4 linked regions of the Elephas maximus indicus genome follow. The protein of the gene in region 3 purifies or fractionates together with the protein of the main gene of each other region. This does not show direct contact. Links are inferred from orthologs where the notes say so. Each region holds a gene or a part of one and is shown on either strand. Other genes may lie near its edges. The genes, in order: MAX, MGA, YAF2 and TFDP1.

What was found.
Region 1: the proteins of YAF2 (region 3) and MAX purify together in Homo sapiens (affinity purification with mass spectrometry; 3 studies listed by BioGRID and IntAct, with this or other methods). This does not show direct contact. The link is inferred for Elephas maximus indicus from reciprocal best matches to the Homo sapiens genes YAF2 and MAX.
Region 2: the proteins of YAF2 (region 3) and MGA purify together in Homo sapiens (affinity purification with mass spectrometry; 5 studies listed by BioGRID and IntAct, counting the BioPlex papers as one, with this or other methods). This does not show direct contact. The link is inferred for Elephas maximus indicus from reciprocal best matches to the Homo sapiens genes YAF2 and MGA.
Region 4: the proteins of YAF2 (region 3) and TFDP1 purify together in Homo sapiens (affinity purification with mass spectrometry; 3 studies listed by BioGRID and IntAct, counting the BioPlex papers as one, with this or other methods). This does not show direct contact. The link is inferred for Elephas maximus indicus from reciprocal best matches to the Homo sapiens genes YAF2 and TFDP1.

What each region holds. Positions count from the first base shown.
Region 1 is NC_064828.1:77,419,770-77,426,879, forward strand, and holds the start of MAX (protein max), read right to left. Parts: upstream 3,017-7,110; 5' UTR 2,788-3,016; coding exon 2,752-2,787; intron 2,035-2,751; coding exon 2,008-2,034; intron 1-2,007. UniProt on the Homo sapiens protein: Transcription regulator. Forms a sequence-specific DNA-binding protein complex with MYC or MAD which recognizes the core sequence 5'-CAC[GA]TG-3'. The MYC:MAX complex is a transcriptional activator, whereas the MAD:MAX complex is a repressor.
Region 2 is NC_064828.1:14,456,162-14,463,612, reverse strand, and holds the start of MGA (MAX gene-associated protein), read left to right. Parts: upstream 1-4,440; 5' UTR 4,441-4,534; intron 4,535-4,581; exon of another isoform or gene 4,582-4,825; intron 4,826-7,451. UniProt on the Homo sapiens protein: Functions as a dual-specificity transcription factor, regulating the expression of both MAX-network and T-box family target genes. Functions as a repressor or an activator.
Region 3 is NC_064822.1:96,843,967-96,850,863, forward strand, and holds the start of YAF2 (YY1-associated factor 2), read right to left. Parts: upstream 3,003-6,897; 5' UTR 2,879-3,002; coding exon 2,853-2,878; intron 2,439-2,852; coding exon 2,313-2,438; intron 655-2,312; coding exon of another isoform or gene 453-654; exon of another isoform or gene 1-452. UniProt on the Homo sapiens protein: Binds to MYC and inhibits MYC-mediated transactivation. Also binds to MYCN and enhances MYCN-dependent transcriptional activation. Increases calpain 2-mediated proteolysis of YY1 in vitro.
Region 4 is NC_064835.1:74,596,672-74,603,748, reverse strand, and holds the start of TFDP1 (transcription factor Dp-1), read right to left. Parts: upstream 3,001-7,077; 5' UTR 2,861-3,000; intron 709-2,860; 5' UTR 645-708; coding exon 633-644; intron 1-632. UniProt on the Homo sapiens protein: Can stimulate E2F-dependent transcription.

The sequences.
Region 1 (7,110 bases), on a different chromosome or scaffold from region 3:
TTCTCCACGCTGTTGTGATTATCTTAAAAGTCTTAACAAGTATATATGTCAAAATAAAAACAAAGGGTCAAACCCACACGCCTTCCCTAACCCCCAAAATCTAAGGGAAAAATCCTAGGCACCTTAACACCAAACTAAAAACATCTAGGGAAAACAATGAGATTGGCATTCTAAGAGAGTAGAGGCATTTTAATAATCTAATAAACCAATTTACATCAACTTTTCAATATTTTGAAAAGCAGAACACTTTCAAGAACCGTGAGCCAAAACCTCACAAAGAAAGCTTTTCTCTCAATGGAGAGTCAAAATAATTCCAATTGAATGGGTAAGTCTGCAAAGGAAGCCTATGAGAGCTCTAGTCAATCCCTACCCGCCAGTCCTGACCAGGCCCTGGGGCAGATCTTAAAAATGGAAACTTGGAGGAAAAAATGTTTCAAATAGACTGGGCCGTGAACATGATACATCAGTTAATGTAAACAGACTCTAAATTATTAGAGATAATAATAACCAAATAAGGAATTCAATTTTCAAATATATGTACAAATACAGGTATGTGGTAATACTTCAAAGACCTAAGGCAAAAAAAAAAAAATCTTCTTAGCGACTATTTTCCAGGACAATTTTTAGGACTCCTGGGACAACTGTATCCTGCAGTTTAATGGAAGTATCAGTTCTTAAAAGCAACACTTTTCTTACTGTGCATCTGCTTGGGCCACTTGCACAATCTTTGCTCGCTCTAATAAAGAGCAGGTACAAGAGTGCCTGCTTTTATCCTGTGGTAATTAAATTCGTATACCAGAAGTATCAAAGTGGCATCATGCACACTCTAACCAGCCACTAAACAGCTTGAATATTCCACACATTCTTTTAAAAATCAGAATAACATAAAAATCCGGGTTCCAAATCTTTCTTAAAAAAAATAGGGAACCTGTCAGCACTGAACCCTCACCCCTACATAGTAACAACTCACTGGAGTTGAGTAGTGGCTGCCTTTTTAGAAGAGGTGTGTGCTCCCCAGTACCCCAGTCCTCACTTCTTCCCACTGCTGTATTCCTAACTATCTCGCTGCCTGGCCCCCACAGACATTTGAATTGTTGATCCCTATTCTATACCCTTCTTTCCCACTGTCATATATTAGATACTCTGATATACTTCTCCCTTCACTTCTCTGATTTGTTTTTTGTCTATTCCTTCTTCCCCTCTAATCTATTATTCACAGAACACTCACAGTACTGGCTCTGTCTCCAAAGACATGAGATTAGTGTACACCTAAATCCACAGAATCATCTACTAAAAATACTAATAACCCTGATAAATTACTGATAACACTGTATGGAGTCCATACAGTGTATGGAGTCCTCATCTCTTAGCAAACCTGTCTGCCAATGCCACATCTTCCAACAATTTTCCTATTTTTTATACTTCTCCTTCAACTCAAATATAAAAAGTCAGACCACAATAAGCTGCATGTGACACTTTCATATTCAACCTCTGGCTCCTCTACATTTCCAATTTCTGCACTACAGTATCACATGCCAGATTCTAGGTCTACAGCAGTCACATGACTTTTGGTTAAAGGTGATTGCATGTGCTTCAGCTTCACTCACGACTAATATGCAGATATTGTTTGGAACCTCCTTGTTCTACATCTTCTGAGGACACTGCCCTGAAATTATGCTACAGTCTACTTCAGAACGCTGTATTTCTCATTTCCTGCTTTAGAGTGTGGTGGCTAGATTCCCCATCTGAAAACTACTGGAACGATTCCTTTCTTCACATACAGCTCATCCCATTCACAGTCACTGGAACCTATCACCCGAGAGTCTGGAATTATGAGAATTGCAACCTTCCCCCAATACCTGGAATCCCAGAACAAGGCCCCACCTCACCTTAGCGGTTAACAGATTTACTACAATGTTAAAATAGAACGATCTCTTTTTTTCTCTGACCCCCAAATGTACTAGAACTGAACGGAAATGAAAATGAAATGGAGAGTAGGAGACGTACCGCAGATTGAAACCTCGGTTGCTCTTCCTGAAATAAGAGAAAAAAAAAAATAGAAAATATAAAAGTTATTTTTACACTTCATATTCAATAATTAGAAAATGCCGGCGGCGGAGGAAGCGGCGGGTAGGGAGTCAGTCCGACCCCCTCCCTCCCTTCCCACCCCACGCTCCAACCCCTCAGCGGGATCCGGCAGCGGGGCAGGGGGGTCCTGAGCGCCGCCTCTCCTTCCGGATCCGACCGGGGTAGGAGGGGGTCCCGAGCACTGTCTCTTCCCCCTTGCACCCAGCTCGGGGCTTCTGGACACTCTCAATCCCTCTCTGCCCTCCCTCACCCCCAGGATCCGCAGGTCACAGGAAAAAGTGATCGCAGACCGAGAGAACAGGTTCTGAGCACCGTCCCCTTTCCCAGGATCCGGACAATGGGATCCCGAGCGCACCCCACCCCTGTCCCCTGGATCCTGAGCGGAATAGGGTAGGAGCGGGCGGCCGCAGCACCCTCCTCCTCAGGGGAGGTGGGGGTCCCATAGGCCGCGTGTCTCCTCCCCACTTCCAGTCCCTGGAGGCCCCTCCGCTTAGGAGCTGGGAAGGAAGCGAGCCGGGAGGGCGACTAAAGCGGTCCAAGTCCCGGAGAGAAGGGAAATGAGGCGGCGGCAGCCCGGCCCCCTCCCGCCGGCGCCCCGCTGAGAGTCCCAGCCGCTGTCCCCGCCTGACAACCCGCACGGGAAGAAGAAGCCCCGGGACTCACGTCGCTCTCCACCTCGATGTCATCGTTATCGCTCATTTCCTACGGCCCAGGGAGCGGCCACTGCAGCGGCGGCGGGGAAGGGGGAGGGGTGAAGGGGAGGGGGAAGTCACCGACAACAACAAGCCGAGTCCCCCCCCACACACACACACACACACTCACTCACTCACTCACTCACTCACTCACTCGCTCTCTCACACACACAACACGGGCGAGAACCACCTCCTCACTGCAGCACCGGATCAACGGCGGCACGCACGCCCGGTCGGCCCCCTGCCACGTGACGACTCGTCACGCTTAGGCCGCCGAGACTTGTAGTTCCCATTCCTTTGACCGACCGCCCAGCTGGCGCCAGAAAAACTACAAATCCCATCAGGAACTTCATCCAGGAGACGCCAGCCCGGCTTGTTGACGAAGCCCAAAGCGCCTGCGTGTCCCGTGGGGGGGGGGGCGGAGAGAGAAGCGGCGCGGTGCCTTCTGGGAGTCGTAGTCCACAGACCGCGAGTTGTCAGGAGGTTTTCCTCCCGAGGCAGCAGAGGAGGCTTCTGGGAAGAGAGGACACGTGGAGAGAGCTTGGGCTTTTGGAGTCCGGCACCGTATGAGCGCCGGGCCCAGGGGACAGGGTGGAGGTTCTGAGGGAGTAGCTGGCTGCCTAAATAAGCTGCTTCTCCTTCTTGCACCTAGTTTTACTTTGTCTTCTTGATTCCCGAATTGTCCCGCTTTGCGACCTGGGGCGTAACTTGCCCGCGAGGGAGTCCTGTGGCTGCGAATTAGGGGGCGCGGCTCGGAAAGCCCATGCAGACCTGCGGGATTAGGTTCTGAGAAGAAGGTGTCAATGGCAGGTGTTAAGTGGTGTTACAAGAATCGCCTTTCTATGGGACTGCTCCCAGGCGCGAGAATCTTGTATTCATTCATCCCGGAGTGACCAACCTTGCTACTCAGTGTGCGGCTTTGCTTTCACAGATCCCTTTCTTACCTTCAACAACCGATTTCGTGGAAGTAAAAGCCCCTTTGGAGTTTGTTGTAGCCCAGGCAGTTTACGGAGTGCCCCAGTTCAGAGTGTCATAATTAAGAATCGCAAAAAGGATCAAAACGGGAAACTGGTTGCAGCCCCCTACACAGTTTAAATCATATGTAAATATTGTGAGAAGAGATGTGATCACATTCATTCTACCAATATTTATTGAACACCTAACATGTGCCAGCACGAGAATGCGCTAATGTACAAGACCTGAACGGTCCCTGTCTTGGAGCCGCTCACAGCTGTGGAAGCAAAAATGAGACTGCTCTGCTGTCATTCGAAGAGTATACAAGTCCCACAAGAAGAAAAAAGCAAAACAATAACAAAGACACCCTGAGATAAACAAAGTGGCAGAAGTACTTTTACATGTGGTCTCGAATGAAATCTTGAGGTTTCTCCATAAATTACTGATGCCCTAATGAAAACCATTTTATCTCTGACTTTTGAATGCAGAAATCTGGGGATATGTCACCATCTTTGTGACAGTATCTCCCCATGTGAGCATGTCATTTATGCTGCAAGAGACAAATGTAAACGCGGTAAATCTTTCCTTTACATTTTTTCCTTTAATACCTGTTTTGTGTCTTATTCAGTGATCCTGTTCAACTGAAGTCTGCATGTCTTCACAAGGAAACCTCTTTTCTAAATGAGTTTGTGAGTCTCCCTTTCAAACGACCTAAGTGGGACGGACACATGTAGCAAACCATTATGTGATGAGTTGATGGGGTATTAGATCTGGATGGTAGCTCTTCGGTGAGTTAATTAACTTGATATTGGAAGCTAGGGCTAATTGATGATTTTAACAAATTATCATTGGGTGCCTGCTATGCACAAAATGCTATAGGGCAGTAGTTCTCAACCCTGGCCATAAGTTAAAATCACTTTGGGAGGTTTGAAAAACCTCAATGCCCAGACCACACCCCCAAACAATTAAGTTCAGATCTTTTGGGGTTAGAGCCAGGCAACAGTATTGTTTAAACTCTTTAGGTGATTCCAATATGCATCCAAGATTGAGAATCATTTGTATAGTGCATGCCAAGATAAATGAGACAGCTTTCCACTGAATTATGTACCTTAAAAGGGTGAGTTTTATGGTGCGTAAATGATATCTCAATAAAGCTGTCAAGAGGTGGTTGTTAGAACAGAACAAGGGGATAATGTGTGGTTTAAAGTCAGGAAAGGTGTGCGTTAGGGTTGTATCCTTTCACCATACCTATTCAATCTGTATGCTGAGCAAATTATCCAAGAAGTGGGACTATATGAGGAAGAACGGGTCATGAGGATCAGAGGAAGACTCACTAACAACCTGCATTATGCAGATGACACAAACCTTGTTTGCTGAAAGTGAAGAAGACTTGAAGTACCTACTGATGAAGATCAAAGGCCACAGTCTTCAGTATGTACCTCAACATAAAGAAGACAAAAATCCTCACAACTGGACCAATAAGCAACATCATAATAAATGGAGAAAAGATTGAAGTTGTCAAGAATTTCATTTTACTTGGATCCACAATCAACGCCCATGGAAGTAGCAGTCAAGAAATAAAACGATGCATTGCAACGAGCAAATCTGTTGCAGAAGACCTATTTAAAGTGTTGAAAAGCAAAGATGTCACTTTAAGGACTAAGGTGCACCTGACCCAAGTCATGGTATTTTCAATTGCCTCATATGCACGCAAAAGCTGGAATAAGGAATAAGGAAGTCTGGAGAAGAATTGATGCCTTTGAGTTATGGCATTGGCAAAGAATGTTGAATATTCCATAGACTGCCCAACCAAAAAAAAAAAACACAAAACCAAACTTGTGGCTGTCGAGTCAATTCCGACTCATAGCGACCCTATAGGACAGAGAAGAACTGCCCCATAGAGTTTCCAAGGAACGTCTGCTGGATTCAAACTGTCGGACCTTTAGTTAGCAGCAGTAGCACTTAACCACTATGTCATCAGGGTTCCCTGGACTGCCAAAAGAAGGAATAAATCTGTTTTAGAGGAAGTACAGCCAGAATGCTCCTTAGAAGCAAGGATGGTGAGACTACATCTCACGTACTTTGGACAGGTTATCAGGAGGGACTAGTCCCTGCAGGAGGACATCATGCTTGGTAAAGTAGAGGGTTAGCAAAAAAGAGGAAGACTCTTCAATGAAATGGAGTGACACAGTGGCTGCAACAATGAGCTCAAGCATAACAGCAGTCATGAGGATGGCACAGAACCGGACAGTGTTTCATTTTGTTGTACATAGGGTTGCTATGAGTTGGAACCAACTTGACGGCACCAAACAACAACAAAAGCTGTTATAAAAGAAATAAGGTAGCCTTTACCCTCCCTGAATTTAAAACCTGGCAAATTATGAACACAAACAATTATAATGAAGACAGATTATGTAAATGTTGAATTAGTAGAAAAGGCAGTGAATGCTGTAAGAAAGGAGAGGAGGGAGAAATTTTCCTAGGTCTGAAATGGTGTTAGGGAGGTGTTGATGATCAGGGAAGTCTTCTTAGGCTCTCGAGGACGAGGACCAGTCTGCAGGGACCAGAGCAGACTGTGCTCATCATTGATTCTCTGATTGTGGAATGGAGACCTGAGCAAGTAAGCAGAGGTAAGGAGGAAAGGCCTTCCGGGTAGAAAGACTGGAGATTTTAACACATCTGTTTTTAGTACTTGATAGAATATGGAGACCTGTCAACCTGGTTAATAAATTTGACCTAATAGACATAAAAGACTGCACCCATCATTGTAGAATACATTCTTTTCAAGCAGTCGTGGAACATTTACAAAAATTGAGCATGTTCTAAGCCATAAACAAATTTCAAAGGACTGTGATCTTAGAGAGGATGTTCTCAGACCTAATGTAATTAAACTAGAAATAATACAAGGATAACTAGAAAACCTTCCTAAGTTTGGAAATTAAGAAATACTTTTAAATGACCTAAATAAAAGGACTTTCATGGCCAAGGCACATAGGCAGGAAAGAGAACTAAGCATATTAGAACAGAAATTTCCTCTAGTTTTCTTTTTTAGTGCTTTCCTGATGTGAATAGTAATTTAGGACTTTAATTCATTTTCATCTTTGTACACTTGCATTTCTTTGGTAAAGCCCTATGTGAACTTATCAAGACTGGGCCTTGTCACTGAGCAGCCCAATTTCTCTAGCCCCTTGCTACTTTAAGGAGTCCCTGAGTGATATAAATGGTTAATGCATTTGGCTGCTAACTGAAAGGTTGAATGTTCAAGTACACCCAGAGGTGCCTTGAAAGAAAGGCCTAGTGATCTATTTTCAAAAAATCAGCCGTTGAAAACTCTACATCCTGGATAGAGTGGGAGAAAAATGTAGAACAAAATTCA
Region 2 (7,451 bases), on a different chromosome or scaffold from region 3:
TAGATGAATTCCAAGATCGGCAGGCAAGAAGGCAGATAAGCTGCTACCTAAAGTCCCATAAACCTTCAGACGAACACGAGCCGGCTGCAGGATCCAGAACAGGCAAAAGGTCACGAACCTTGCTAGAATGTCCACTTCTATTCGATGTAGGCCACATGCCCATGGAAGCTCCCTTTCGACTGACCGGCTACTCACAACAGATCCCATCGTGGAGGTGATCGTATTACATTAAATCTCACCATGGAAGTGATTATATCATGTAACTGCCAAACCACTGAGAATCATGGCCCAACTAAGTTGACACACAACCTTAACCATCAAAGCAATTGAATGTGTTTTGTGTCCTCAGGGTTCTCAAACAATTATACTATCAAGTTAACATGATTGTATCTTCAGTATGAGGATTAATTTATCTAAGGTGTTGGAATAACAAGCTCTGGTGGCACAATGTTTAAACACTTTGCTGCTAACCAAAATATTGTCAATTCAAATCCACCAGTGGCTCTGCAGGAGAAAAGACCTGGGATCTGCTTCCTTAAGGATTGTTGTTATTAGGTGCCGTCCAGTTGGTTCCAACTCATAGCTACCCTATGTACAACAGAATGAAACACTGCCTGCTCCTTCACCATCCACACAATTGTTGTTATGCTTCAGCCCATTGTAGCAGCCACTGTGTTAATCCATCTTGTTGATGGTCTTCCTCCTTTTTGCTGACCCTTTATTTTACCAAGCATGATGTACTTCTCCAGGGACTGGTTCCTCCTGATAACATGTCCAAAGTATGTGAGACAAAGTCTTGCCATCCTTGCTTTTTTTTTTTTTACTTTCATTGTGCTTTCAGTGAAAGTTTACAAGTCAATCTCTCATACAAAAATTTATACACACCTCGCTATGTACTCCTAGCTGCTCTTCCCCTAATGAGACAGCACACGCTTCCTCTCCACCTGGTATTCCAGTGTCCATTCAGCCAGCTTCTGTCCCCCTCTGCCTTCGCATCTCCCCTCCAGACAGGAGCTGCCCACTTAGTCTCATGTGTCTACTTGAGCCAAGCAGCTTACTCCTCACCAGTATCATTTTCTATCTTATAGTCCAGTCCAATCCCTGTCTGAAGAGTTTGTTTTGGGAATGGTAACAGTCTTGGGCTAACAGAACGTCTGAGGACCATGACTTCCGGGGTCCTTTTAGTGTCAGTTTTAGACCATTAAATCTGCTCTTTTTACGAGAATTTGAGGTCTGTATCCGATTGCTCTCCTGCTCCATCTGGGATTCTCTGTTGTGTTTCCTGTCAGGGCAGTCATCAGTTGTAGCCAGACACCATCTAGTTCTTCTGGTCTCAGGCTGATGTAATCTCTGATTTGTGTGGCCCCTTCTGTCTCTTGGGCCCATAATTACCTTGTCTTTGGTGTTCTTCATTCTCCTTTGTTCCACGTTTGAGTTGAGACCAATTGATACACCTTAGATTTGCCACCCTTGCTTTTAATGAGCATTCTTGCTGTACTTCTTCCAAGACAGATTTATTCTTTCTTCTGGTAGTCCATAGTATATTCAATATTATTCACCAAAACCATAATTCAAAGGCCTCAATTCTTCCTCAGTCTTCTTTATTCATTGTCCAGCTTTCACATGCATATGAGGCAACTGAAAACACCATGGCTTGGGTCAGGTGCATCTTAGTCCTTAAAATGACATCTTTGCTTTTTAATACTTTAAAGAGGTCTTTTGCAGAGGATTTGCCCAACGCAGTGTGTCCTTTGATTTCCTGACTGCTGCTTCCATGGGCATTGATTGTGGATCCAAGTAAATATTACAGCCTGGGAAACCATATGGGGCAGTTCTACTCTGTCACATATGGTTGCAATGAGTTGGAATCGACTTGACTGCACACAACAAGGTGTTGGAACAGTAGCAAACATGCCTGTTTTTTTTAAAGAAGCCCAAATCTGTTTTTAAATAGCTAAATCCTTCCATTTGTTAGAATGGTAATATCGTCGATTGTAATATTTACTCATATTGCCTCTCCAACTGGTATACGTTATACACATTTTTGTGAAAATAAAGAGGTACGTGCTGGAACAAAAGTTCTATCTGGTACATAGAAGTAGAGATACAAAATTATTCCATTTATCTACAAACTTTAACTTATCCAAATCAAACATTTGGTTAGGAACTGAGTCGGGAGGAAAGAACCCAAGTTTCTTCATAGATTAATATTCTTCTCATGGGGTACTAGTGCTAGAGGCAAAGGTTAGGCAAAGGACAGGAGGGTACCATTTTCTGTGTTTAAAATAAAAGAACTCCAAATCCACGGGTGTTATAAACTATGTATACGACATTTTCAAAGAAACACTGCCTTGTGTACTTACTGGGCTTTTGGGTCTTCTAGAGTCCCATAAAATTAACAAGACAGCGAACGTGGTTAATATGAATTAGGCCCTAGCATCCCTCCAGGATGTACTACCATCAGTGGAATTTTAGAACCTTAAGCCCAAGGTGCTGTTCCTCCTTGAGATGCCCTGCCCAAACTAAAACCTCCCTTTATTAGAAGTGAAGGCTGAAGCTAGGAGAGGAAGGGGAGGAAGGGGACTGGGAAGAAAGCATCTGAAACATTCTGATGTGTAAGTGAAGGGAAGAGTGAGTTTCGAGGGCCTGTTTGCTCTGAGGTAGTTAAATATAAACCATTTTTTAACATTCATGAAGTGGAGGCACACATGCCTCCTCCTCCCTTCATCTCCTCCACCCTCTAAGCATTATTGTTTTACTGCAATGTCTTTGGTTCGGCATTTTGATATGTTTAGGGAAACCAAAAAACAACAACTTGAAATGAAGGACGAAGATAGTGTAATATGTCCCAACAGATGGGCAATAGTCACCATGGAGTCTATAAAAGATCTGCAGTGGAAGGATCTGTCAGTGGGCCTCTAGCACTGTCTAGGGGAGAAACAGAATAGTGGAGAAAAAAAGGATTCAAGAGTGTGCATATCGGACAGAGTACAGGATGCTGGTTCAAATACAACCTTTGCCACTAACTCCTAACCATATTTATGGAGTATCTCCTATTCATAAGGAACCGTTCCAGGTCTTTTAAATATTTTTATCTCAGAATCATCATGACAGTCTGAAGACTAGGTATGATTGGCTCCAATTTTCAGCTAAAGTAACCAAGGACCAAAAAGTTAAAAAAAAAAACAAAAAACGTGTCCGATGTTATAGTACAGTGACAGAACTGCAAGTTGACACGAGGTGCGTCTGACTTCAAGGCCAAGACTCTTTTCACGATAGCCAATAGATCCCTAACCTAGTTGTGTGGAAGAGTTGCCTGGAGAACATGTTGAAATACATTTTCCAGGTGCCCAGTCAAGACTAACACAGAAAATGGTAATACTAGTATAGTTCTTTTCTCAGAGTTGTCACAGTTAAATGTAATAAAGTATATAGAAGTATTTTGTAAACTTTAAGCTTAACATAGATATACTTGTAATTAGTGATTTTTTTTACACTCGATCATCTTCCTTTCTTTTGATTTTCTAGTTAAGAACCAATTTTCTGATAATTAGACTTACCGAGTACCTTTAAACTAGAAAACGGTGCCCCGTTGGTGACACTATATATTTTGGCTTGGTTATAAATTAATACATTTAATTTCTAGTCTATAAATGAGAGCTCTTCGGAGTCTGACCTAGTGCTAGCCGAATCTCCCAAATTGGATCATTCCTTTGTGAACTGATAAAATAGTTTGGAATTAGCAAAACTGAGGAACGGAGTTCAAAGAAGAGGGTATGAACTGGTAAGTGGGGGCTTCATGGGAAACAGAACATTAGGTTTTTAGTTTGTTAATACAAGTTACAAAATTAACTTCGTTTGACGTAAGCCCATCTTTTCTCAGCAGTAGCAGCTGATGTTTTTCTCGGTTCCAACATATACCTGGTACTAGGTAGAACCAGAAACTGTAACCTGGCCCCTTTAAATTGCCCCCGTCTCCTTCCCCTCCCCCCTTTCCCCAACTGTAACAATACGTTTACCTAGAAAGGTCTGGTCTGCTATCTCGAGAGATATTCTAGGCATTATTTTCACTCCCAATGGGACTTGTAATAAGTTGTATTTAAATTAGCATTCCTTTCCACTGACAATGAAGAACTGATATCTTAGTTGTAGGCAAATACTCTTGCCGGTTTTTTTGCCATATTCACAGGGGCACTCAACATGCACTTACTAAATGCTTGCCCCTTGAACCGAGGTTTGGCGATTTCCCCAAGACCACGCAGACTGAACAAGTGGGAGAGGGAGGCTGAAAGTGCCTGTTATATCCAGTCACACCCATAATTATCCAAGCCGCCTCGTTCGGAGCCCAAAGACCAGGCTTTCAAAGGGACATGAAAGGAACGACGACGGGGTGAGGGCCAAGAAATCGGGAGAGGTGCCTTTCCCAGCATGCTCTGCAGCGCTCTGAGGGGCGCCAGACGTTTCCCGGCGTGCTTCGGGGTGCGCCCAAGGGCGATGGTTCCCGGCTCCTGGACGGGTACGCGAAGTTGGACCGGTAGGTGTGAGCTTCCTTAGTTTTGAGACCCTGTTTTTTCGTTTCCCCTTTATGGATGTAACTCCAGAAAGGAGTACAGGTGGTCCTGTAACTACCCTACTTTCCCGCGTGCAAACGACTTTCGGAGCCGCTTCGAGCACGGTGCCAGGTGATCAGCGGTTAGGGGCGGGCCTGAGGTTTGCACGTGACCAAACCTGGCCGCCAATGACTAGCCCGGCGGTCCGGCCGCGCGAGGGTTCCCGGACCCGTGAGCGGAGCGGCGCGTGGGACGGCTACGGTCCGCCCCGGCAGGTATGCGCAGGCGCCTTGGTTGCCACGCGCTCCGTCTTTTCCCACGCGCCGGGGCTGTGTCCTTGGCGCGAGGTGTTAAGAGTCTGTGTGGGTGTTTTTGTGGGTAGGGGGAGGGAGGGGGACATAGCGTCACGTGGACACCACAAGCCAATCTCAGACCGAGGCGCGTCCACGGTTTCCCCAGCGCCCCGGGGTGCGACGTGTTCAGGGAGGTTCGGCTCAGCCGTGACGACCCGAGTGCGGTTTTCGAAGCGCGTGTGCGGCCTGTACAATCTGGCCGCGGGTTTTCGCGGGGTCCTGCTCCGGTGTGAGCACTGACGACACGTTCCCGGCAAAATGGCTGCTGGAAAGAGTCGCCTAGCAGGGGGAGCGGTGGGGCCGCGTGAAGGTCACATGACGGGGTTGGCAGCGCGTGCTGCTGGCGCGGGGAAGGGGGAGGGTGGGAGGGAAAAGGCCCGGAGAGTCACGTGCTTTCTGCGTCTCCTGTGGTTTTCAAACGGCTTTGCTGTGGCCTGAGGGTCCGTTCCGACTCCTCCCTCTCGAGGCATGGCAAGCCTCCGGGGAGAAGCTGTCCGGTGTTTCGGAATGAGCTGTGGCCTGGGCCTTAGGAGACCTGGGTTCAAGGTGTTTGGGGAGTATTGCGATTAGCAAGTCCTGTTGCCACTCTCGATCTCCATTTTCACTTTTATATTTTACCTCTGTGGAGGAGATTATTTTAAGGCCCTTTCACATCATAATGTGGTGGGTGTATGATTTATACACAATTTCAATTTTATACATGTAACAAAAAATCAAGTTATTAATTATTATGAGACAAGACTGCACCCTTCTCACCCCAAAGAGAAAAACCCACAAGCATCCACTGGCGTCGCTGCCGCCCCCCGCCCCCCCATTGTTTACATTGATGTGGGTCACATGGTGGATGTAATTTGTTATAATAACCTGGCTATGCCTGTTCACCTTTATCAGTAACATTTATAATCTGGGCCTGTTCACTACTTCATTTGAAAAAATCCTGCCTTTTAGACGTACAGTCCCTATGTTTCCTGGAAAGAAATTAAAGAGTAAATGTTATTAGCATAACTGTGGAGATGAGAAAACAGCTGATTAGTAGGGACTTGCTTATTCCCCATAAGGGCTGACTGGAAGGGCCTAAAGTCTTCTACACTTGGTCGGCCAATCTTTGTGAAGTTTTTGAGGCTTCACGTACCAGCCTGTGGTGTTTCTCCTGGTTCTCTCCTCCCAGCTCCAGCTCTTCATTTTATCAGTATTCAAGCCCTGGTGAAATGTAGCAGGCATAAATTAGGTATTTTCCGTGTCAGTGCTTATGTTTTATGGTACCTTTTAATTCACCTTCTAATTTTGTGGGAGCAGAATCTGGGAAACATATATTGAGCAATGACCATAATAGCTATTAACAATTCTAGTAAGAGTTAACACTTTCCAGCGTAGTGTTCTAAGTATTTTACATTTGTTAATTCATTTAGTTCTCATAACAAACCTATGAGGTAAGTACTATTATCTCCGTTTTAATGAAGGAAATAGCCACACAGAGATTAAGTAATATGTAGAAGACCACGTGGCTGGTGATTTTACATAATTCCAACTAGATTTCCTTTTGAAAATTCAACAAAATGATTCTAAAGTTCACTTGGAAGAATCAGCCTGTAAAGTAGGAAAAACTTAAAAGTGGTAGGCGGTTTGTACTAGTGAATATGCAAATAAAGATACGATAATCAAAACTGTAAGTAATCCTGCTATAGACAGAGCAGTGGAACAGAATGATAAATCTACAAATACATAGATAGCTGTTAGTATTGGGTTTTGTTAGTATCATTGAGCCTTGGTGGCACAGTGGTTAAGGGCTCAGCTGCTAACCAAAAGGTTGGCGGTTGGAATCTACCAGCTGCTCCTTGGAAAGCCTTGTGGGGCCCTTCTTCTCTGTCCTATAGGGTCACTATGAGTCGGAATCCATTCAATGGCAACGGGTTTGGCTTTGGTTATTGGTATTACAGAAACCCTGGTTAAGTGCTCCGAAAGGTCACAGGTTTGAACCAGCAAGTCACTGTGTGGGAGAAAGATGTGGCAGTCTGCTTCTCTAAGGATGACAGCCTTGGAAACCCTATGAGGCAGTTCTACTCTGTCCTGTAGAGTCGCTATGAGTCAATTGACTCAATGACGATGGATTTGGTTTTGTTAGTATTATAAAGGTGACATTTCAAATCGGTGAGGAAAGGATTCCAAAATTATGTTGGAACAATTGGCCAACCATTTGGTAAAAATAAAATGAGACTCCTTCTTGAAAATTTAAACAAAATTAAATGCTTTAGGTGGGTTAAATACTTAAATATAAAATATGAAATTATAAAGTTACTACTTTAAAAAGTGGATGAAGTTTTCCACTCTTAAAATAGGATGAGCAGTTCTAAGAGATATGACTGCAAATAAAGGCACAGGTAAAAGAAAAATCGATAGTGTAACATAATACAGCTTCTAGTTGGCAGAAACACTGTAAAGCTAAAAAACTTACTCATTCAGTATTATGTAACATATTAGTTGAGTGCCTACTAAGTGCCAGACAGTATTTCATGTGTAGGGGATCTAATGATGAGCAAAACCAGGCAAA
Region 3 (6,897 bases):
AGTGTTCTACAGTCTTTTCATTCTGTTTTTCTAATATTACCAAAGAGCAAACTATTTTGTGATGCCATCAATATCTGCCCTATTAACAATGCCCTGTTCTATTGTTCTTTCCAAACATGGATTCCACTCTGAATTTCAGAAACAGTGATAGGAAAACAACAGATTAACAGAGAAATTAGAGCTCTTACGTTTAATTTATGGCCAAAATCAAAAGAGAAGAGACAATTCAGAGAGAGGAAGGAAGAAGCTGAGAGGGTCTTAGTGTAGAACACTTACTTTTAGGAACAGAGTGTCCCTTAGACTTCTGGTGAGTTGCCCAGAGCCTCTTCAGTTTCAATCCAAATGACAATGCTTCTCTGAGTCCTCCTCAAGTAATGATTCCACCACTAAAAATTGGATCTACAAGAGCTCAGAAGTACTGGTAAAAAATGTCAGGGGCCCCCACATGGGCCTCAAGCCTCTTTTAAACTAGGCCCACTTCTCTGTCCTGGGCCAACTCCCCTGTGCACTATATTCCTTCTTCTTCCAGGTGCCAGGTATGCGGCCTGTTTCTTCTCTTCTGAGCTGTCACCACCTACTCTATTTCTCAGGGTTCCTCTAACCCCAAGACTGGCTGTGGAGTAGGACACCAGCTTCCCCCCTTCCTTGCTGTCCCTGCAAATAAACATATAGGCTCTTCTAATTTCAGTATTTTTCTATTGGCTACAAGAAAATAGAGGGAACAACAAAAAGCAACAACATAGTACCAGAGATTAAGATTATAATAATTGTCTCCACTTTAAAGCGCCTGTCTCCAAAAAAACAAATTTTCTAGAACTTGTTTATTGAGCATTTTAAAAAGTATAAAGTACTAATATAAAATATACAAATATAGCCTAAACCAAATCCAAGGCAATAAAGATATCAAGATAAAAGGATATTCTGCTTTTCAAAATACTTAAATCACGGGTCCAAAAACAGTTTACGATCAGATTCATTTACACATACAGGTACTTTTTTCTTTTTATAATGTTCTGCTGTTTTATTCCCTTGAATATAGTAGATGTTCAAAAACTTGTTTTTTAAAGAATATGAAAATGTTCAATACATTTTATCTAATACGAGTGGGAATTAATATACAAAAAACATCTTATGATTTACCAAAAGACTTCAAAAGCATCTGGTTTCACTAAGGAAATGTTAAAATTTTAAATTAGTGTCAACCACTTCTACCTCTATATTAACATTTTTTTAATGAAATCCCATAAATGGGGTTTAAAAATCAGGATATCTCATTTTCAGAAATCTAATACCAACTGAATATTTAAATCTAACATTACCGATATTTAGGCTCTTTTTTTTTTTTTAACAAGAGACCACATTGTAAGATATTAATAATGTTCTTATACTTTTAATAATTTCATTTCTAACAGACTTTGTAAGACCATATTACATAAACTATATAAATATTAAGCTATAAATCAGAGGATTCTAACAACTTAATTCAAAGGCTACCCTCCTATAAAAAGGCAAAGCAACTCCCTAAGTGCTGGGAGATCAAAAACGTCATTGACTTCGAATTTCCTGGATGATTTTCGTTAGCCACTTAATTGACTTAAGTGGTTTTTTAAGAGACAGAACTATTATACTTTAAGCGTACAATAACATAAAGTTAAAACTGAAAATAGGCAGGGATCATTTTATCTCATTTGTATAGTCTAACAGATTGCCACTTAATCAAGCTAAAGCTATTCAAATACTTTCAGTAAAAAAATGTGTCCTATTGAGTGGGCTTACCTCCAACTATTTATTTATAAAATATTGGAGAATTTCCATAAGAATACTAAACAAGACCCTTCCATATTTCAAAATGAAGTTTAAGCTACCGTGTATTCTACAGATACTTTTTTCTTTTTTGAGGAATGCAATTAGATTACATCCTTTGCTTCCAAAGTGGATTTCATGGGCTTTCCTTGATCCCCACACACTAATACAAAAATGCAGCCAAGATTATTATATCCGGGGCGGGGGGGGGGGGGGGCTCCATTACACTCAGCAATACGAATTAAATCGCAGTAGCTAATGCCTCTCTTAAATAATTTATCCTCTCCTGGCAGCAAAAAACGCTACAGCCTCTTCAATTACCCCTCACCACAAACCATCGCCTAGGTCGCGATCAATCTGACCCAGCTGCTATCGCGGCCACCACCTCAGTCTCACCTCTCCTACCGTTTGGGTCTGCAAGTGTCACGGGAAGGGGCGGCCGCCGCAGGGGCGTCCTCTGCGCCGCCACCCGGGCACCCGGCGGCGCGCGGGGCAGGCCCGGGACTCACCGTGTGGAGGTGCCCTTCCGCACATCGCACATCATGCACTTGAAGGCCTCGGCGCTGTTCCGGAAGGTGCAGACGCTACAGTCCCAGTAACCCTCATCCGAGGACGGCTTCGGCTGCCGCTTCGGCCTGCAGGACACAACCCAGACACGACGCGGCGCAGGGTCACCAGCAGGCCGCGCCCGGGCCCCGCGGCCATCCCCGCCCCGCCCCAATTCCGCGACCCCCGCCTCACCGGCCCCCGGCGCGCTGCGCTCTGGCTCGGAGGGGGAGGGGAGTCAGGGAGGAGAAGGGCGCGAGAGCCGCCGCAGTAGCCGCCGCCGACGCTCTACCACTGGGGGCTGCCCCTGTGGCCACCGCCGCCATCGCGCCTCCATTGTGGGGTGGCCGGCGCTGGCCCCTCACACGGCAGCGCTCGCGCAGCAGCGGCGCCGCCCCCGTTCTCGCCCCGGTGCCCGGGCGGCGAGTGAGGCGGCCGCCCGAAACCCAGCGCGAGGGCCCCGCCGCTCGCACAGTCGGGACCCCGGTGCCGGGCGCTCTTACCTGGTGGGGCTCTTCTTGTCTCCCATGGCTTGGCTACAAACGCACGCCAAGAGTCGCCGCCGCGGCTGCTCTGTTTGTCAATAAGAAGGATAATAAGCCCGGCGGAAGCAGGCGGGGGAGGGAGGAGGGAGGGGGCGGGGAAGGCCGCACCGCGGAGCTCGGAGCAGCCGCCGGATCCCACGCAGCCTCCAGCTGTCGGGGAAACTCCTGCCTGGGCGCACGTGACCCGCGCCTGCCAACCAGCGGCCGCGCCGGAGACTTCAAACACGGCTAGCGCGGCCCAGCACCCGCGGCCAGTTCGCTGGCAGCCGCTGCAGCCTCGGGCGCCGCCGCAGCCGCCGCAGCTCCGCGCTCTTTCCCGCGCTTCCATTCTGCGTCCCCGAGTGTCGCACGCTTCGGAGCTCCTGCTAGGAAGCGTGTGGCCTGCAGGAGGACTGGGGATGCTCCGTCATCCCACGCGAAGCCTGGTTCGAAGTGAGGCCAGCGTTCGGAGGTAACCCATCGCGGGACAGAAGGGACCTGCGGGAGTCTGCAGGTAGAACCGCTTTCCTGGCCTCAGCCGTCCATGTCTACTCAACACCCGCCCGAAGGATACCTGGGGGGAGGCGGGAACCGACATTGAGCGCCATTGCTAGGTGTCAAACACTGTCTGCCTAAATCCACACAAATGCTCTACTGTATAGGCGTTGTCACCCTCAATTTAGAGAAAATGAAACTGAGGCTCAAGAGAGATTAGGTGACTTCCTGTAGGTTACATATTAGAAAGTGCAAATCTAGGAGCCTGAAAAAAAGAGCCTGAGCCTGGTTTAAATCCAAACTAGCCCTCTTGGCTTTCCAGGACTCTGCAGTAGCAGCTTTTAAAAGAAAATGAATACTCATAAACCTTTGTTTTTTTTAATAACAAGTTTGCAAACCCGTTTTTTTTTTTTTTTTTGACAAAGGAACACTTTTCCCTTGGTCTCAACGTAATGGAGGCCCTCATCACCTTGTTCTACACTCTGGTACAGCCATGTAACTGCTTTCTGAAGCTCCAATCCCACCGCACCAGTATATATCCTAAACCACAGCCAGATTAATAATAAACATTGTTAACATTATGCCACCACTCTGCTCATAAGCTAATGGCGACCAGACTCCTTAGGCTGGCATTCAAAGACTTAACACAAGTTTTCCCTAACTCTCATTCTACTCCCCAACAGAAACGCAGCCTCCTGAGGAGGATTAAAGAGGAAACCGCTTGCCGAAACCCTTCGTGCACTGCATGAAATATTTCCCCCTTCTTTCTGACCAGACTCATAGCTCATAACGACCCTATAGGACAGAATAGAACTGCCCCATAGAGTTTCCAAGGACCGCCTGGCGGATTCAAACTGCCGACCATTTGGTTAGCAGCCGTAGCACTTAACCACCATGCCACCGGGGTTTCCTATGAGTCAGAATCAACTGGACGGTGCTGGGTTTCTTTTTTCGGTTTGGTCTGACTAGAGATCAATTATCCAATAATCAAGGTAAGCGCAGTGCTTACCTTGCTTACCAGATCATATGTAGTGAACAATTCACGTGTTTTCACCACATGAAAGACTCTGCTTCTGGTATGGCTGGCATCTTTCTCTCAACCCCACAGCACCTTCCTACAGGATCAAAGACTGTCTTCAATTTTGCAATCCCTGACAAGAGCAGATAATCCAGTAAGCAAAAGTAAGTATGGGCTTACTTTTGCTTACTTACTAATCTGTAGTGAACAATTCAAATACACGGTGACACCCACGTGAAATTGTTCACTATAGATTAGTAAGTAAAAGTAAGCTTGCTTAGTGGGTTATCTGCCCTTGTCTCTGACTACTATTTCTGCCCATCTTTGTAGGTTCGCGTCAGATCTGAGTTCCTAAAGAATTCTTTCTGTTTTATAGCTGAAAGGGTCTTAATGTGCTACAAAGGAAATAGTACAGTTAGAAGTCCCAGTTCCCAGCCTGTTTCCCCTAATCTTTAACTGATGGATCTTGAAAAATTTCTGTAATTTTCAATTTTTTTGTCTGCAAAATGGCATCTATATATATATATATAAGGTTGCTGCGTGACTAGTAATAATACAACATTTTTTAGCACTATATGCCAGGCATTTTGTAAATCTCTGTATACAAATGGGTATTTTATAAGGCTCAAAAGTACTATGCAAATGTTAGTTCTTCTCTAGTCTTAATCTCTTCATTTAAAAGACAAGGAAGTTAGGGCCTAGGTTAAATGGCTTCTGTTTAATGAATAGGCCAGGATTAGAGCTCAGATGTCTATTAGTCCTCTACCAAGCCATGTGTTCTGCTTAACCAAATCACCCCAATTTGCAGCAGCCTCTGAACTCAGCACTATCCGTACTTTTTGCAAGTGTCACTTTTTTTGACTCAAATCCTGATTCAGAAACCATGGGGATTTTGACTGAGGAAAGCATACAAGAGAAGGAGATCTAAAGCCTAGTCTCAGTCTCTCAGTAATGCCATGGGTAAACTTAATTAAGCCACTTGGGTTTTTTTCATCAGTAAAATAAAGAGTTAAAACTATTGTCACAACTAAGGTCCCTTCCAACTCTAAGGCATTGTGATGTTTTTTATATTCCTCAACTGGATGCATCATCAAAGAGAATGACAAGAACTGGTCTGTTTGCAAAAGTGATGGCAACACTGTATTTTTCAATCAAAAGAAAATCAAATCAAGAACTCTAAAAAAAGTTGTCAGTGGTGTAAATCACCATTTCACTAGAAAATAAATTCCACCACTAGAAAGTAAGCTTCACTTCCAAAGCACAAGTGCAAGAAGGGCAGGAATTTGTATTCGTGGTATTCATCGCTGCACCTCCAGTCACTAGAACAGTCTGACACATAATGGACACTTAATAAATATTTTGAGAAGGAATAAATTCATCCATGCCACAGTTCATGGATGAGGTGTTTTTTCACACTGAGATTGACAGCCCATTACGCATATTGGCATGCAGTAGATGGTCTATAAATGCTGAAGTTTACAGCCCTGCACACTGAACTTTACAACTCTGCAAAGTAATCCTTGTAGAGGAATCAGAGATTGAACCCAGTTTCTATGAAGCACATGCCCTTGCACTATACCAGTTGCTGACCATTTATTGGGTGCTTTTTTTTTTCTCTTAGAAAGATCCTGCCTTTACTAAACTTACGTGAAGAAGCACCTCCTCCTTCTTTACCACAAGAGTCCAATCTTTTTTCCTGAAGTGTTTTTCTTACGGTTTGAAAAGAGTGACTGCAGAAGAGGAAGATCCTTGTCACTAGAGTGATCCAGGTTCTTAACCATTTAGGTGCCTTTTCAATACATTTGCAGAGTTCAGTCCGCAAACGTAATTCATTGGGGTCACTTGTAAAATGACACAAACTGGCAATTGTTTTAACAATTTAAAAGTGGTAAAGTATTATAATAATTTACCATTAAAAAATTAAGTTAACTCCAAGGTAACTGATATATTCATTTCCATTTTAATATGCTTCCTAGAGTGGGAAAGACTGGAGAAATTACTGAAACTGTACGTGAGATCATGCGTGCAGCTGAACAGTAATCTGTTTGCTGTTGAGATATAAAAAAGACTGAGTGCCCCTGTCTTACATACATTGAGAGACTAACTGCGTGGTCCCGTGGGCCCCAGCCTGTTCTAATTAGACCCAAGTTTATGCCCATGAAACAAACACAACAACAATAAACACCATGCATTAAAGTTTTATACACCTATTAGACAACAAGGGCTAATACTTGATATGGTGAGCACTGTCTCATTTATCAACTGGAATTTGAAAGGAAATTAGTGTGACTAAGAGAGGAATAAGATACAATTCTTCCCTGAGAGAAGAACTCAAAATGAAATATAACAACAATAAACTACAATTGTAAAACCAATCACATTTTAAAAGGTTAATTTGGTTTTTGTCTGTTTCTTTGGTGTTTTGGTTTATTTTGTTTTTGCAAAATGAAGATACCTTTACTGATTTTGCTCGGTATAAAAGTTATATGTCACCAACATAAAAAGTTGAGC
Region 4 (7,077 bases), on a different chromosome or scaffold from region 3:
TTCCCTAGAGCCAGTACTCTGAATTCGGACTTCTAGCCTCCTAAGCCGTGAGAAAAATAAGTTTCTGTTTGTTAAAGCCACACACTTGTGGTTATTTCTATTATAGCAGCACTAGATAACTAAGAAAGCAAGTAATCTCCAGACCTCCTGTGTGGAAGGTGGTCCTCAGTAGATGGGGCCCTTCTCTGCTGGGCATCAGAAAACGGGTCCAGATCCAGCAACTGCTGAGCCCCACCACACGCTCTGAATGGTGCATTCACAATCTCTTTTAATTATGGAATGGCTTTTAACAAAGCTATTCAAAATCATAAATTTTAAAGGCCCGAAAAGATTAAGTAAAATTGGTACCATTTAAACACCATAAGCATTTATCAACAGGCATCCAAGGTTACAAAAAACACAACGTAGAAAGAGCAAGTCACACATCTCCATGGAGGCTATTAGATTCTTTGATCTTTTTTCACTTTCATCCTGTTTCATGTGCTTTAGAAGCTTAAAAAAATAAACAGTACTATGGTTTATGTGTTGTCATTCCGAAATAAAGTGAGAAAACTGCAAAGAATTCAGTGCTTCGTAATTTCTCGCTATTAAAAGCTAAGGAAAGGTTTGTAACACGAAGCTAATACACTTACATCTTTTGCCATGTTACCAGATCCGTGAAGTCAATTTTATAAACGTTCACCCTCCAGAGAAGAAACAATGATTTTTCTGAAAAGAAGGGAAAAGAAAAAATGAGTAAGAATAAAGAAAGTTAATAATATGTCACATCTTAAGAGAAACGTTCCCCACCCCCCCCCACCACCACCCCAACTGGCCTTCCAGGTAACAAGAACCTTCCTTCCCAAATGTACACACTTACTCAAAAGTGGAACTGGCAAAAACAACTCCTATACTTAGGATTTTAAAATTCATTGCAGCAGGTGAAAATATATTTTAAATTGGCAAACAAGCCCATAAACAACCAAGACATAGGAACTCCATGACCTAAAATCATTGCTACAACACCCCAACTTTCTCCCCAAATCACCCAAAGATAATCCCCTTTACATATCTGCCTGTGCTACCTTTCTGTTTCTAAAGCATAATCCATGGCATAACTACACGAATGGTCCCATTCGGCTCATTCACATCTCTACGGGATCAATATACCACCCCCACAGTGACCCACCCAGGCACACACATACATGCACGACCCCACACATCCATCTAACAGGAGTATAACTCTCCCTTCTGTCCTAGCACAGACATACCGGCGCGCAGGGAAAGCCATCCCAAAAGAACTCTTAGAGGGACTTCCCCCACCCTGGTCAGTTTCCAGCTCGCTGACCCAAGCCAGAGGGTAGACTGGTAACTCTGACAGGTGGGCTTCCAGAGTCACCCCAAGCAGTCCCAGGGTCCAGGGAACTGCTCTCAGTCCCCCATCCCAACCCCCACGCCCCCAGCCCGTCCGGGTCCGGGCTTTCTCTGACCTGTCACTAGGCCTCAGGAGCCACCTCCACCGAGAGGAATCTCCCTTCCCCCGCCCGCCACCGGAACCGGCAGTCCTCGGCTCGGAGCTCCCTAAAGGACCAGGTCGGTGGAAGGGTCAGCCCCTCCCCGTTCCCTCCCGAAGGCGCTCGCTGCAGGCCGGAGCGGATCCGGCCGCCGGGGCCGGGAGCGCGGGCGGCGCGCTCGGGCCCGGGACGGAGCCGGCGGCAGCTGTGCAGCCCTGCCGCCCGCCACCGCCGGGTGCACCGCCCGGCAACAGGCGCCCACCGACCCCCTCCCCGTTGCCCCGCGCCCCCGGGTGGCCGAGGGGCGCGCGACGATGCTTATCCGGGGCCTGGAGGGCCTAGCTCCGGCCCTGCCGCCCCGCCTGCCCCCACCCGGGGACCCCCCTGCACCCGTCCCGAGCCCCCACCTCGCCCGCCCAGACAGCTAGCAGAGTCCCGCAAGAGCCCCACTGCCCGCCCTCCTCGGTCGGGCCCACTCCCGCCCAATCGCGTCCTGCTCCCCACCCGCGCCAACCCCCCATCCCACATCCTACAGCCGAGGTCAAGTCACCTGGAGAGCGCCTTCCTCCCCCGGCCGCCCACCCCCCCCACCCACCGAACGGCGGCGGCCAGCCCCGCAGCCCACCAACTGCAGCGGCTACAATGAGGCGCGGCGGCGGCGTGGGGGGTGCGGGGTGGGGGAAGGTTTACCGACTGCACATGTGCAGCGCACACAGAGCACACCAGGAAAGAGCCCCAAGGAGACACCGAGCAGTGCGCGCGGCGCCCACACGCAGGCGAGGCGGGGGCAGGGCCGAGGGGCCGGACCGCCGGGGACCAGTCCGCCCCGGGCTGCCCCCTCGCCGCCGTTGGCCCGCCCCCCGCGCCCCGTGGCCGGCCCCGACCCCGGCCCGCCCCAGAGCCGCCTCTCGGGCCAGGGGCCCGCGCACCGCCCGGTGCCCCCTCCCTCCAGGACCAGCTGCTCGCCCTGCCCTGGGCCCCATCCCCCAGCTCCATCCTCCCGCGGCGCCGGTGGCTCCGCGCCCTCCCCCATCTCCATCCTCCCGGGGTTCCCGCCCCAGGGCATCCTCTCCCCCTCCCGCAGCCCCGGCCGCCCTCGGCCCGCGCGCACCCGCCCGCCGCCTGCAGCGCCAGGGTGGCCGGCGCCCCGCACCTGGCTCGCCCGGTCCGCGCCCGCGCGCGGGGCTGGGGGCGGAGATGCTGGGCGCCGAGGCTCAGGGCCCCGCCGCCCCAGCCCCGCACTCACGCGAGGATGGCGGGGATGGGAAGGCCCGGCCGCGCTGGCCAGACAGCCCTGCGTCCCCACTCCGCTCCCGCTCCTCCGTGGCCCCCGGAGCGGCGGCACCGGGAAAAAAATTGAAACTTACACTTTGTACCGGGAGCGTCGAGCCGGCGTGACGTGCCGGCAGCGCGGTGACGTGCGGCCACGAGCGGCCCCATAGAGACTGGCCCAAAGTGTCAGTTTCACCCCCGCGCGCTCCGCCTCGGGGAGCGCGGCGCGCCTGCGCGCCGTTTTCGCGCCTTTGGCTCCCTCCCTCCCTCCTTGCCTCCTCCCGCCAGTTCTGCTCCGCCCCCGCCTGGCGCCGGGAGAGGGGCTCAGTGTGTGTGTGCGGAGGAGGGAGGGAGAGAGGGAGGCCCGCGGCGAGCGTGTGTGGCCGCTGGCGGGCAGGCGGGCGCGCGGCGCGGAAGCTGCTGCCTACCCCGGCGTGCGCTCCCGGCTGAGGACGGCACGTCTGGCCCAGCGAGGAGCCGGCAGACACCCGGCTCAGCCACCGCGCCTCTCCACGCCCACGCCCAACCTTCACCCAAATTCCAAGCAATTCCGTGCATCCTCGGTGCCAGCTGGGGAGGTATCCCGGAAGTGAGTTCAGGAGGGAAAACTGGGCAGCCCAGTTTGATCTGACTGCAGGAGCGGCCTCATCACTAGTTTGGCGTGCTGGACCCTTATTCCTGGAGATTTAATCACAACCTCGATCCCACCACTGCTAAAGCAGTGGGTGGATTCAACCACAGACGGCTGTAGAAACGCATCAGAGGGTTGACTGGCGGGCGCATCTAGAGTCTGGAGTCCAAAGTTCAGTGCTGGATTAGGCAGCAATGCCCAAGCCCTACCAGGCCCTCCCTCTCTGCCTCCTAGTGCGATGCATAATTAACGTTTGCAAAGTACTTTGAGGTGCACAGACCAAAGGCCCTCTGTATGTGCAACATATTATTATTACATTACTACTATTACATTACACCCGCACTTAGCATGGTTTCACAATTTAGCCACTTTTATGCTGATTACATCCACTTCTGCTTTTCTAGTAATGCACTGACCCCTTAAATCTCTTTTCACTTAAACTGTTAGCAATTTAATTAACATTGGATTCTCCTGGTGGTGCAGTGGTTAAGACCCAAGGCTTGGAAAAAAGGTCAGTAGTTTGAATCCACCAGTTGCTCCCTTGTAAAGGGGCAGTTCTACTCTGTCCTATAGGGTCGCTATGAGTCGAAATCGACTCGACGACAAGGGTGTTTTGTTTTTTTTTTTCTTCTTTGAAGACAAGCTAATAACGGAATCTTCATATTCTGCTTACAGATGAGCACACAATGAGTATTTAAAGAAACATTGAAGGAGAAGTTGAATAAAAGACTCTAAGAGGGAAAACCAAAAACCCATTGCCGTTGAGTCCATTCTGACTCACCATACTGGACAGATTAGAACTGCCCGATAGAGTTTTGAAGGCTGTAAATCTTCCCAGAAGCGGACTGCCACATCCCCCTCCGGTGGAGTGGAGCTGGTGGATTTTAACTGCCCACCTTTCAGTAGCAGCTGAGCCCTTTTAGCTACTGCACCACCTGGGGCCCTTACTAAGAGGGAAAGTCCTACAAATTACTATCTGGAGAAAGACCTTATTCTTTGCTGTTAAGATTCATACAACTCTTCACCCATTACCAGGTTCCCATGATTTCAGAACCGATATTCCTCCATTATATCCTACAAATAGTCATATTTTCCTAGCTCCATTTCTTGACTTTCACAAAAAAAATATTTTTTACTAAATTTGAATATTCCAGCTTAGTTAGCAGTGGTAAGTCCCCTTTCCCAACCTCTTGGACCCAAGTGTAGCTGTAGCCACCGCACCAGGAAACCTCCCCGGGAGACCTAGGGAGTTGGAATTAAGAAGGAAAAAATGAAACTCATAGTATGGGATCTGAAACCCCTTCCCTACAAATTCGTGATTCAGGTAATTCAACAATGTTTACAGAGGATGGTGGTGGTAGTTGCCATGGAGTCAATTCCAGCACGTGACGACCCCATGTGTGTCAGAGTAGAACTATGCTCCACAGGGTTTTCAAAACCGAAAAAAAAACCCAAATCCGCTGCCACTGAGTCAATTCTGACCCATAGAGACCCTATAGGACAGAGTAGAACTGCCCCATAGGGTTTCCAAAGAGCAGTTGCTGGATTCCAACTGCTAACCTCTTGGTTAGCAGCCGGGCTCTTAACCACTGTGCCACCAGGGCTCCCATAGGATTTTCACTGGGTTATTTTTTGGAACTGACTGTCAAGCCTTTCTTCCAAGATGCCTCTGGGTGAACTAGAACTTTCAACCTTTCTGTTAGAAGTCGAGCACAGTTAACCTTTTGTACCACCCAGGGATCCCACCTCTAATATTACTCGAATTGATTTCTGCACAAAAATCACTGTAGGGAAATATTCTGAACTTGCAGGGGGTACCTACTTGCTGAAAGCTCATTGGGGCTCTGGTTTGTTTGGGGAAAGGGCAAAAAGTTCTTTACCCCACAGAAAGCTCCTATTTCTGTGTTAACAAATGGTAACAGAACTCTAAAATTTTGCATTGAAAATCCAAATTTTTTTAGCCACTGCCTTGGCTTGAAAACTTTGGATCAAATTGCTGAAATGCAATCTTTTTATTAAAGCTCCCCCACCACCAAAAAAAAAAAAAAAGTTGCAGTTGAGTCAACTCCAACTCATGTCAACCCTGTGTGTGCTAGAGCAGAACTGTGCTCCGTAGGGTTTTCAAATGGCTGATTTTTCAGAAGTAGATCGCCAGGCCTTTCTTTCGAGGCATCTCTGGGTGGACTCGAACTTCCAACCTTTCAGTTAGCAGCAGAGCATGTTAACCAGGTGCACCACCCAGGTGCAATAAGCCCATAAAACCCTGGGTTTATCTACTCTAATAAGCCTGTAATGCCCTGTATTTATCTACTACTTCACATTGTTTAGTAAACTTAATTCTTTCTATGATGCCTTCATTCAGTATTGACTTGATGCATAACACAGTAGTTGGTGTTCAGCCCTATATTACTGGGGCCAGATATTGTTTTGTATGTATAAGATTTGTCATTATGAACCAGAATACTACATGGAAACAGTTCTGTTCTGTGTTTTGTTAAAAGAAAGTCATTTGGTTCTTTCCAGGTAAAATCCTCATCTCCCAAAATCTCACACTTTCGTGTCTGAGAGATCTCTACCCTGTTGAATCTTAGGACCTGATGCAAATCCTTCTCTCCTTCCCACACCATTAAACTGCCCTTTAAAGAGAAAGAACATGTTCCAATCCTTTGAAATGTTTTAATTCTAAATTTGCTTGCTAAATACAAAATTTATCTTTGGTTTCCATATTAAATCATGTTGGTCTTTTCTTCAGCCGTTTCCTCAGTTTTTCATCCTTCTTGGATCACCAGAGCAATAGTGATACTGAGGGAAGACAGGGAAGGGGGCAGGAGTTCATGGAGCTTATGAGGAAGGACAGGTGACATTTTCTCATTCTTTGGTAAAATATAAATAAAAGCATCTGTGGTTGTTTAGATGCCTCATAAAATATGATGAATCAGTGTGTTTGCTGAACTTCAAGGTAAATCCCCTAGCCCTTCTCCCCAACCAGATCATCACTTCTAAGCACCACCCCGTCACCTAACATATGAAGACATTTTTATTTTTCTCGCAATCTTTGCTACCTCATTTCCCCTTTTTAAAATTCCCAGTAAAATCCAAAGAACTCCTTCTTGAAAGTTTTAGTCTATCAGTCCTTGACCCTATCACGTGATTATGCTCTTAATAATTCTTGTGTCTTAAAGACTTTTACAGCGATTGACAGCCTGAAGCCACAGTCCTTGGAAAATTGTCACGGACAAATTCTCCAGGATCATAGCATCTAACATATACAAATTTGATTTATCCAAATTTATCTTACCAGTTTTATCTACAACCTAGACGCTTTCCATTCGCTTTGCATCTGAACTTTCCTCTGGCTTTTGCAATACATGAAAGTCCTTTAATTCCTTTGGCATTTAATTCCACAGCTCTTCTAAAGCATTCCTTCTTCGTAACTTGACATTGCTCTGACTAGGATGATATCAAGATTAGTTTCTTCTATGGAGTTCTACAGTTTAAGGTTTAAAGATCCATGTTCTCTTTACATCATTTCCTTCCTCGATAGAACTCATTTACCATCATCAGCCAACAGTGAACCCAGCACCAGGAGCTTTCAGCATAATTTTAAGAAATTTGACTTTATGTGCAATTTAATAACTTTGACCATTTGTCTACTACCTGTCCACTTATCTTACAGATTCA